Xenopus tropicalis: one gene and its partners. The protein of the gene in region 1 interacts with the protein of each later gene in a pairwise test. Links are inferred from orthologs where the notes say so. Each region holds a gene or a part of one and is shown on either strand. Other genes may lie near its edges.

What was found.
Region 2: the proteins of fhl1 (region 1) and akap12 interact in binary tests that used the Homo sapiens proteins (3 or more experiments, as listed by UniProt). The link is inferred for Xenopus tropicalis from reciprocal best matches to the Homo sapiens genes FHL1 and AKAP12.
Region 3: the proteins of fhl1 (region 1) and mybpc1 interact in a two-hybrid assay, tested with the Homo sapiens proteins (2 studies listed by BioGRID and IntAct). The link is inferred for Xenopus tropicalis from reciprocal best matches to the Homo sapiens genes FHL1 and MYBPC1.

What each region holds. Positions count from the first base shown.
Region 1 is NC_030684.2:68,791,280-68,795,539, forward strand, and holds the start of fhl1 (four and a half LIM domains protein 1), read left to right. Parts: upstream 1-1,387; 5' UTR 1,388-1,452; coding exon 1,453-1,474; intron 1,475-4,260.
Region 2 is NC_030681.2:44,978,568-44,982,223, forward strand, and holds part of akap12 (A-kinase anchor protein 12), read left to right. Parts: coding exon 1-3,656. UniProt on the Homo sapiens protein: Anchoring protein that mediates the subcellular compartmentation of protein kinase A (PKA) and protein kinase C (PKC).
Region 3 is NC_030679.2:48,935,861-48,939,516, forward strand, and holds part of mybpc1 (myosin-binding protein C, slow-type), read left to right. Parts: intron 1-301; coding exon 302-461; intron 462-758; coding exon 759-863; intron 864-1,680; coding exon 1,681-1,869; intron 1,870-2,974; coding exon 2,975-3,109; intron 3,110-3,656. UniProt on the Homo sapiens protein: Thick filament-associated protein located in the crossbridge region of vertebrate striated muscle a bands. Slow skeletal protein that binds to both myosin and actin.

The DNA of each region.
Region 1 (4,260 bases):
TCAGAGTAGTATTCAGAACTGAGTAGAGGCTTGTCAGAAATAGGGTGGATTCTAGGTGCACGTGCCCCACACCTTTAGTACAGGGGTGATAAATATTTATCCAAATACCGTAAATAGTAATAACAACGGGATACACCAAAACTGGAGTTCATGCTAAGAAAATTGAATAATTCATCCCCTGTGCACCATGCACATGCAGAAATGTCTTTGCATTAATGTTCTTTCACTGGCTGTGAGTTTAACCCACGTGCTTGTCCCACTAAGCTCAATATGCTCTATGAAGTAGAAGTGTGACATTTATAACATGTTGTTTTATACATATATATATATATATATACTGCAGTTATCGGCATTCATAACTTAAAAAAAATATATAATTGTTGCATAATGTTAAAATTTCCAGATGGAAATAGGAAAATTAGGTTTTTATTTGTCATGTATCTTTAATCTTTGATTTTACTTTGTACTATATTGTGTATCTACTATGCCTTAAGTGCTCTTATAGTGAGGAGTGATAGATTCATAATTATGTACAGCTGGATGAGTACAATTCCCATTTCTGTTATTATTATTTGAACATCACTCTACTTAACTAAAATATCTTAGCCTTTTTGAGGGGCCCCATCTACAATCTTTTTGTGGGATAAGAGAGGGTGCTGTTTCGTCCATCTAATGTATTTTATTTTTTATTACTATTGTATATTGTTTAGGGATTGATTTGAGATCTCTTTCAATAAAGGTATTCATATTGCACTTCATATCCATCCAGTGTTTGTTGTTGGCGATGCAGAGCACAGCATTTTACATTTGTTTGGCCTTTGGCCATTGTTTAGATGATCATAAAGCAGTTGCTACTACTTGTCCTCTTATAAAGACAGGTCTGTTAAAAGGTTAAATCAGTTGACTCAGCTTCATATTGTATAGTTTATCACTCAGTTTCACTATGGTAAATGTATTAAGAACAGTGAGGGTCTCAACCCAATTTAAGAAAAGCACTTCATATCTTATACTCCAAACAAAATAAGGATGTATATACCTGGCAGAAATCTACAAACACTGGAATATTATTTTACAGTGGACTTGTGTCCTGAACTTTCATCTGAGGCAGGGAAAATGTTCTGTGATATTTAAGTGGGGTGTTAGGTTTCCTTAGGGCTTGAACTCCTGTGTTTTCATGGGGTGGCTAATTTAGAAATCTGAGTAGTTGCATGGGCATTTTATGTGTACACGATTTTTTCTGGACTCTATTCTTCTCTCAAAAGATAACCAAAAATGGTCTTGCTTTTCAAGTAGGATTAAACAAGAAATCCCTGGAGGGGGGTGTGAACATTTTGCATCTGACTCCTTATTAATAGCTCCCTGTATACATACATTATCAAACAGTACATTTGGTATCAACCAAAGAACAGACCACTTGGCTAAGGAGGCTGCTTGTGAATTTCTCGTTCCCAAATGGCATTTGAAAGGCATTCAGGTAAATAAATGTAGAACTTCCTCTGTTATTTTATTAACTCATAAATAATTTGTGCAGTGTATTATACATGAGATTTAAATATGTGACCAAATGACAGTGTTTACATACTGCAGCAAATATTTATGAACAGAATATTGTTTTAAAGTGTATCCTATTATATTCTACACAATTTTTATGTATTCAGACAGGATGCAAGTGGGGGTTTGAGGTATCTGTTGCAGATTAAATTTTGAAGCATGGAGACTAATTTTCATTTTGTGTATTTAAAAGGGATATTAGGCACAGCTAGAAGTAGTGATGGTATAGCTGAGTAAGTTAGTGTATTTTAGAGTTTGATTTTTGCATCAACGTGTCAATGTGTTACACAGCTGAGACACTAGAACAGCAGATAAACATGATCAGATTACAATAACCTGTGTGTGTTCAGACCACAAAGTGCTAAATTGCTTCCAATGGGTTTCTGTAGCATAGCTATAAATATATGTGTATATGAGTATATATATATGTATATAAATCAAAGGTTTCACACTCAACAGGAATTTTACAAAAAATCAAAAAGGCTTTATTTAAATTCCCAACGTTTTGGTCACACCTAGTGACCTATATCAAGGGAAAACAAAGAATAAATATAAATATACTGTATGCCATTACAGATCAGACACATTTGATGTTTGTATCTATTGATCATTCATTTAACATTTTCTTACACTCCACCTAACCCCTTAATGACTGAGTAAATGGTGTGGTAAAGACATTTCTGGTGATTGCCTTTTCCTCTGTTCTTACTGATACTGCAATGAGCCTGTTTAGCCTTTCTATTGTATCTGTAGTGTCTCAGGCCATTTTCCCTGTATATCAGACCCCTATATAAGCCAGTGAGCTCTTTGAGCTATTCCAGTGATCCCCGAACAGTGGCTCGTATGCAACATGTTGCTCACCAACCCCTTGGATGTTTCTCCCAGTGGCCTCAAAGCAGGTGCTTATTTTTTAATTAAGCTTTTTTAATTTTTTTAATTAAGTTTTTGTTGCATAAAAACCCCAGTGTAAAGCCAAACAGAACCTTCTGTAGGCTGCCAGATTGTATAGGGGCTACCAAATAGACAAACAAACCTCCAGCACCCCTGGAACTTTTTTCATACCTGTTTTGCTGAGTTTGTAATGCACATGCTGATTAATAAGTCAAAATTTCTACTAAAGTATAGTTACACTAATCCTTCCTTGCAGTAAGGCTTATTTATCTGTAGATTAGTGTTTATTCATATGACTTACGCTCTGAAGAGAATAAACATAAGGTCTTTAGGAGAATGTGGGTCTCATCTATTAATGGGACACAGTGTGGAATTCCAGTGGAAACCAAGTCTGCTGTGCCCTCACCTGCACTACAGCATATCACTCTTGGAGCTTAGCGTGCTCTCAGTACTTATCCTTTATATTGTGTGATTGATTCTTTTATAGATTCAGTTAAAACCTAGCATGTAACCTGTTAGGGAATATATGAATAATAGGGCAGTAATTGGCAATAAAGATGACTTCATTGTTCATAAATGGCAACTGAAGCTCCACAGTGCAAGGTTTAGCTGTTGTCTGGGCAACAGGCTGAAGAGCAAACATATCCTAAATAAATGACTCTGATATGGAGCGGACAAATGCTGTGTGGGGTTTATCATGCAGCCTGTGACAGCTCCGTCAGAACTCAGGCACGCCATTGTTTGTACTGCATCTGTCACTTTTCTCTAGATATCCTCTGACATAAGGCAAGCCTTCCAAGCAACTGGCCAGGTTTTTATTTGGAGCAGTTTGTTGTTAGGATACAAAGAGATGTCAGGGGATAAATTGTTTGCGATCTGCAAGTCCAGGCCAAATTTACATAAAGGGTTAGTTCATACTTTTATTCTGTTATCGAAGCCCTTTTTGTACTCTAAAAGGCAACCTCCTTTAGTCAAACCTCATGGGATGCCCTTGTATCCTCTGTATTGTCCTTCCATATAGTCATAAATAGTGATCCTAACTCTAAAAGCACTGGTTCTCCTTTGGAACAAACCCAACTTGGCCAGTATTTTTTTAATGTCTTAGACTTTCCATATCCTTTGAGTTTTGTTACTGTTTTCTGAACCTTCCTTTATCAATGACATCCCTTTAAAAAAACTGGAGACCAAAACCACACAGTTTCTTATAGATGGGCCCTTTTCAGTGCTTCTTAAAATCACTAGTTACCCTTGCAGGACTGAGGATGTTTAGCAATGTTGGACTGAGATGCCAGGGGCCTACCAGAAAGGCTTGGATCACAGCCCTACTGTCTATACTTTTGATTTACTATTTACTCACCTTATTTATGTTACATACACTCATCTATCCTGCTCTCCATAGTTTCTATATCCCCTTTTCTCATACAGGAATGAGGAATGGCAGTGATATAGGCATACAAAACCACCAATCACCTGGGTCCACCAAGGGGTTTTCTTGGCACCCTGATAGGCCAGGCATAATCAGAAGGAACAGATCAAGATAAATAATAAGAAGTTACAGGAAGAACTTTGGAGACGTAGAATTTATTTTTAAAGGAGAAGGAAAGGCTAAGTCACTTGGGGTGCCAAAATGTTAGGCACCCCCAAGTGAATTAAATCGCTTACCTTGTACCCCGGGCTGGTGCCCCTGTTAGGAGAAAACAGCACCAGCCCGGGGTACCTGCAGCAAGCGATTCCTTCTTCCGCGTTTCTTATGCCGGCAAAATTCATGGGCCGGCGCGCAAAACTGGAAGAAGAAAGCGCTCGCAACTACCCCGGGCT
Region 2 (3,656 bases), on another chromosome or scaffold:
AGAACAGGTCAAAACACCAGAATCTCCAACCAACCCACTTGTTGTTGAAACATCTTCCCCACTAAAGAAATTTTTTGCACAGGGTTGGGCTGGACTAAGAAAAAAGACGAGCTTCAGAAAGTCAAAGGAGGAGGATCATCAGGAAGTAGAAAAGCATATTATAAGTGAAGAACAGGAAAAAGCTGAATCTCAAGCCAAAGAGGAAGCTGGGGAGAACCAAATAATAGTCAATGGTGAAACATTACCAAAGGATGCAAGTGAAACTGAAGAATTAAAGGCATCTGTCGATAAGGAAACTCAGCCCAACACCATTGAATTAGCAAAGCCAGAAGAATGCCCAGCTGATGAACTGTCAGTTCCCAAAGAAGACATTAAACAAGAAAATGTAGAAATATGTGAAGTATCTGCCACACAAAGTATAGAAACTTCTGTTGAAGTAGTCAATGCTGTTCCAGTGCCAACTGAGTTTAGTGAACAAAAGAAAGAAGCTGACACTACAGAAGATAAAGATGTAAGCCAAATTACAGTAGTCAGCACTTCTATTGCTAATACAGAGGAAGTAAAGGAAACACTTTCAGAAATGGCACCTGACACTGAAGTCACCTGTGACAAAGATAACAAAGAAACAAATGCTGAACAGGCCCAGGCAGCTATAAACACAGAGAGGACAGAAGCTGAAATATGTCCAGAACCTATAATGACAGAAACTGAACTGTTGTCATCACAAGAAAAAGCTAAACTACAAGGTAGCCCTTTAAAAAAGCTTTTCAGTGGAACTGGTTTAAGGAAACTCTCTGGAAAGAAGCATAAAGGCAAGAAGGAAGATGACACTAAGACAGAAGTTACCTTAGAGGTACCAATATCATCAGACATGCCTGAAGGAGATGGAGACAATACCTCACCTTCTTCTCCTGAGGAGTCAGCTGAGACCTCACCCACAGAAAAAGTGCCAGAAGATGCTCTACAGGCAGTAGAAACAGAAGGTGATGGGGCCACATCTGATGGGGAGAGAAAAAGAGAGGGTATTACACCATGGGCATCATTTAAAAAACTAGTCACTCCTAAAAAACGACCCAAAAGACCATCAGAAAGTGATAAAGAAGAAGAAGTTGAAAAGATAAAGACTTCTACTATGTCCTCTACTGAGAGTGCTGGTTCAGTTGAGAATCAAGAAGAAGCCAAAGAAAATGGTGAAGAACAAAAACTTGAAAAAAGTACAGAAGAAAATAAGAAAAAAGTTGACAACTCAGTGTCATGGGAAGCATTAATCTGTGTTGGCTCAGCTAAGAAAAGAGCACGAAAGACATCTGATTCAGATGAGGAAGAAACACAAAAAAACATTGAAGAGAATAAAAAAATAGAGGAAGATGTTGATAAAAGTAAAGAATGTGAACCAGAAGGCCCTATTGTTAGCTCACAAGAAAAGGAACAAGTAAATGATAGCCCCTCACCAGACCAAGCAACAAGCCCTGCTGAAGGAGATGCCGGGTCAACTTGGCAGTCCTTTAAAAGACTGGTTATTCCAAGGAGAAAATCGAGAACCAGGGCAGAGGAGAAAACTGAAGAGACTGCTGTAGTGTCTAATACTGAACAGCCAACTTCAGATGGGGAGGCTGGAAAGGAAGAAGGATGGGTATCATTTAAAAAACTAATCCCTGGGCGTAAAAAGAAAAAATCAGAAGGCAAGCAGGAACACGCTGCAATAAGTGATGCTGGAAAATCAGTAGAAGGATGTGAGGCAATGGAGGATGATTCTGATGTGCCGGCAGTAGTTCCATTGTCTGAATTTGATGCAGCTGAGCAGGAAAAGCGTGAAGCCCAGCAAACTGAAGATGCTTTGACTGATGTCTCAAAAGATGAAGCAAAAACACCAGAGAATACCTCTGAAGACCTTATTCATGCAATTACTGTTACTGTTGTTGAGGGAGAGAGAGCTGTTACCAGTCTGGAAGATAGGGCCCCCTCTTGGATAAGTGCAAGTGTCACAGATACTGTTGAGCAAGCAAATGAACTTACAGAGCCCAGTACAAAAGAAAGAATAAAGTCTGAAGTTACAGTAGAAGAAGCTGTTATTTTTGGTGAAGTTTCACAGATGGTAGGATCCGGAAACACTATAATAAATGAGGTGGAATTAACTTCCGAAGCTCTAACTGCTCTTGAAGAAGCAATTGAATATTCATGTGCTGAAGAGACAACAGAAATGATATCTGCTGCTTCACAGTTAGGTGACTCATTTACCCCCACAGAAGAAGTTACACCTGTTCCAGAGGAAGATGAGGGTAGCCAGAGTTTGGATGTGCCAGATCAAGTCCTCAATGAGGCTGCAGAATTGGCAGAGCAGTCTACTCAAGCTTTGGTTGAAAAACAGGTTGAAGAAAGTACCTGCATTTCTGCTGAAGAGCAGGGTATAGAAAGCACCCTTACTTCAGCTGAGCAGATTGAAGAATGCACCACTGTATTAGCAGAAAGTCATGATCAAAAGGACACCTCAATTTCAGCAGCAATTAAATCAGTGATAGAAAAGGATGGGGCTTACTTAATTTCTGTTGTGGAACACATTAATGAAATTCCTGTCATTTCAGTTGAGCCTGCAGATCAGGCTGATACAGATGCCCCAGTAGCCACAAAGGAATATCTTGCAGATTCTGTTTTGCTTGAAGAGGCAAGAGAGGAAACAAGTGTTGGTTCAGCTGAAGTAAAAGTTGGTGAAAGCCATGCTGATAAAATAGCTGATACTGCAGAGGAACAGGATGAAAGTGCTCATATTTTGTCTGAAAATACGGTTGAAGAATGTGCCAATGTTTCCATAACATCACAAGATAATGAGCCTGTTCCTGCAAAATACAATTTTAAGGAAGTCACACCTATTTCAAAAGAAGTTGAGGCTCCTCCTGTAAAAGAGCATGTCTTAAATTACTTAATTTCTGCTGTTGAGCAAGTAGACATTGCACCTGAGAAGACTGTTGAAGGAAATACTCAAATCTTGGAACAGGAGCTACTAAAAGAATTGAGTGAAGAGCAATCTAACATAAGTGCCTCTACTGTTCATGAAGAGCAAGTTAAAGAAGTTGCTTTAATATCAGATGAGCAAGAAACCCTGGAACATCCATACGCTTCAGATGATTTAGAATCTAAAGAAGGAGCTATCTTTTTAGCAGAGGAGCAGGTTGAAGAAAGGTCGGACATTTATGTAAAGGTTACAGAAAGTGCCGTGATTTTTGCTGACAAGAAAGAAAATGAAAGTACTTTTGTTTTGACTGAAACACAGACTGATGAAAGTTCACAAATTTTTGTAGCAACACAGGCAATAGAAAGTGTTTCTGTTTTGAAAGAGGAGTTGGCAACAGAAAGTGACCCTGTGGTGCCAGTGGAGCAGGCTAACAATATTGCCACAGCTGCCAAGGCTGCCATTAATGCTTCAAGTGAAGATGAAAAGCAAATTTCAGAATGTTCAACAGTTATGTTTGATGAACATACAGAGAAAGAACATGTTGCAGAAAGTCCCACACATGTTACTACAACACTTACCGCAGAAATTGCTTCTGTAGCTGAACAGGATGCTGTGAAGGAAGAACAATATGCAGAATACCCCCACAGTATGGCAGGTTTTAGTGATTCCCCGGTTTCAGAGAGTCCCCCCGCTCTGACTATAGAGC
Region 3 (3,656 bases), on another chromosome or scaffold:
ATACTGTAGATACATCCATGCGTAATATGTTGCTAGAATAGCTGCATGTATAAATAGCACTTGGTTTCTCATGCATTTCTTCATTCAAAAAACATGTCTATCCTTCAGAGAAAAAAGGTACTTATGTCAAGATAAAAAATAAAATAGATAACGTGTGTTTTTAAAGGTTTATTTTTACTAAATTGGACAATAAATTCCTAAAAAATAGAAAAAAAATTAGCATGCATGATTGATTATGATCTGAATGTTTATACTATGGTCACAGTATATTCCTGATTCTTTGAGTAACTTTTTATCCTAGTGGATCACAGAACTGAGTGGTCGTATCCGTGCAGAATCATATCCTGATCATGGACTTCTGGTCATTGACTCAGCTGAGAGGGAAGACTCTGGTACTTACAGGATCATGGTTAAGAATGAGGCAGGAGAAGCAGTAGCTCATATCAAAATAAAGGTTGTAGGTAAGTATTAATAAAAAAAGGATTGTTCCTCAAAAGTGTTTTCTCTGTGTATAATCTGAGTTACCGTCACCTTCGAGATGGTGGTATCTCCAGGCTTCCACTCTATCAACCTACTAGCAGCAGCATTGATATTGGGTCCACACTCAATCTTTGTAAACAACATTATTTAACAAATATATTTCAAATTTAGTATTAGGGCTGATGTTGCATAGTCATATATCAGATTTTAATAACTGAATGCAATATGTATTAGGTGTATATTTATATTTAAAACAAATAAAATATATTTATATTCAGATATTCCAGATCCCCCACCAGCTCCTGATGTAACAGAAGTTGGGGAAGACTGGTGTACTATGAAATGGGATCCCCCAATATATGATGGTGGCTGTCCTATTTTGGGTAAGTAAACATATAGGTTAATTGTGGGTGGATTATATATTTAAGTACACCATCTTTTAGAAATGTAAATACAGCAAGAACAGACTAATAGTGGTAGCACAGTGAACTCTGATGGTACATTTTGATGGATTCTAAGATACATAGAACAGTAAAGTGGCAAATTATGTTTTCTAACAAGGAAGAGAGTGGCAAACAAGAGAACAAGTTACTTGAAAATGTGTGTATAACTACTGTATTTATAAACTAAAAGTGAAAAGTTATGTGTTTTCTCCATAAAGATCATATAAGCGGTCATTTACCTATCCCCCAGACAGAAGTACATTAGAGCACTAAGGGGTGCAAGAGGCCTACATGCCTACATGAATATAGCACTGCTGAACAAAAAGGTGCACCCCAGGTCTCTGTGTTCCTAAATGGACCTATAGTGTGATGTACACAAAAACATAAACATAGTTCCTCAATCCTCTTTTGCTGCATTAAACGTAATAGCAAATAGGACATTTTTGACTACCCAGAATTACAATGTCCCCAGTAGTACTGTTGTATTGAATAGAATTATCAGGAGAGGGTATGGCAGTTGCCTAATAGCTTGCTAAATAGTGTGAAATTACTATAGTGTGTTATTTTCATATGATTATGTGATTCAGCTGGCTAAAGAAAGGTGTTTTTAATTCTATTTGTGGGTATTGTGTCACCCACCCATGGGGTTATTTTGAGTGAGCAACAAAAGCCCCAATGTACCATTACCCTTAGGCATTCGAATCACCCTGTAATTCGGTTGAGTATGTGACTTTTTTGTTCTTTAATGTTTTATAAGGCTACTTTATTGAAAGAAAGAAGAAACAAAGTTCTAGGTGGATGCGGTTAAACTTTGACCTCTGCAAGGAAACCACATTTGAGCCTAAAAAAATGATTGAAGGTGTGGCATATGAAGTCCGGGTATTTGCAGTTAACTCAATTGGCACATCTAAACCCAGTCCTCCTTCTAAAGCATTTGTACCACTGGGTAAGTAAACTTGCAATGTCCTTTCATACTGCATACTGCATACTTTCATACAGCAAACTGGGCTCATTACTCAGTTTTATAAATCAGGAAAATGCAACAGTAGCTTTAATCTGAGTGGATCAACTTCTGTTTCTAAAGACACTGGCAGGATTATATCCTGAAAACACACACACTCTGATTTACTAACCCACGAATCCAAATCTGAATGGGAAAAATTCAGATTGGAAAACGAACATTTTGCGACTTTTTCGTATTTTTTGCGATTTTTTCGTCGCCGTTACGACTTTTCGTAAATTGTCGCGACTTTTTTGTAACCATTACAACTTGTGCGAATTGTCACGACTTTTTCGTAGCTGTTAAGATTTGCTCGTATCTTGTCACGACTTTTTCGTATTGAGCGCTCATAAACTGCGGGCAAAACTTTCAGACTTAGCATGATTTTGGAAGCCTCCCATAGGACTCAATGGCACTCTGTCGTAACGCTATGAAAAAGTCGCGACATTTTGCGAAACATTCATAACGGCTACGAAAAAGTTGCGACAATTTACGAAAAAATCGCAAAATACCGATCATTACGCATTCGGACGCCTTCGGACCATTCGTGGATTAGTAAATCAGCCCCTCAGTCAATTGTAGGCTATATTAGTCCAGAATGAGCTAATGGTTCAGCTCATAAAAACTCAATATAAGTCTATAAGAAAATTTAGAACTGCATTTCAGATTCAATCTGGCCCAATAACGTGTATGTATTATACTGACAGTGTTTATAACAGTTAATCAATCCAAATGATTCTTTGCAGCTGAGAAAATGTAGGGACAAAACATAGATAAATAGCCAAATTTAGAATAACCCTTATACTGTATACATTATTTATCTATGAAGCTGCTAGTAATAAAACTTACAGTGCTCTCTGACAATTCCAGGAGGCTATGTAGATAGATTTGACACTGTATGGTGTATACTAAGCCCACTAATCACTCTACTGCCCAACTGGACACAAGTGTAGGGGATAAATGTATCACTCCCTAATGATTATAAAGTTGGACAGCATTGTAGCGCTAATACTTAAAACAGAACATAAACATATCCCCTTTCTTCCTTTAGCTGTAACAAGTGCACCCACTATGTTAACAGTAGATGGAGTGACTGACAACTCTGTCACAATGAAATGGAGGCCACCAGATCACATCGGAGCTGCAGGTTTAGATGGTTATGTCATTGAATATTGCTTTGAAGGAGGTAAGCAAAGCATCTGGATGCACCTTCAGTTTAATAACCAACCATAATGCACTCCAGACTCATATGTTAACAAAAACAACAGCAGGTTTTCATTTGGGCACTATATATTATAGCAACCAATTGTCATTAGTCAGAATTGTAATTCTAAAACTTTCTGTATGATTTCTGGAAAACATAGCATTACTGGTAAACATATAAAAGAATGATATTTCTGCATCCTTTCAGTTTCCCTTGTGTCTTTTATATGTCTTCCAGACAAGCACAAAGAAATATAACCATCAACCAAAGAGTTCTGCATGCCTGCCCCCAATAGGCCACTGATGGTTATATTTGTGAGTCAGATGTGCATTCAACATCATTGAATAATCCATAATAAACCATCTTGCCATAGTCTTAATGGATTGATAACATATTTGGTAATACTATAAAAAGCTAAGCTACTGAGATAAAGAAAATAAATGATGAGTATTGTATGGATATGTAAAGAATTTGAGAACTATATTATACTTAAAAGTTGATAAAGGGCAGAAGTCAAACTCTAGCAGAG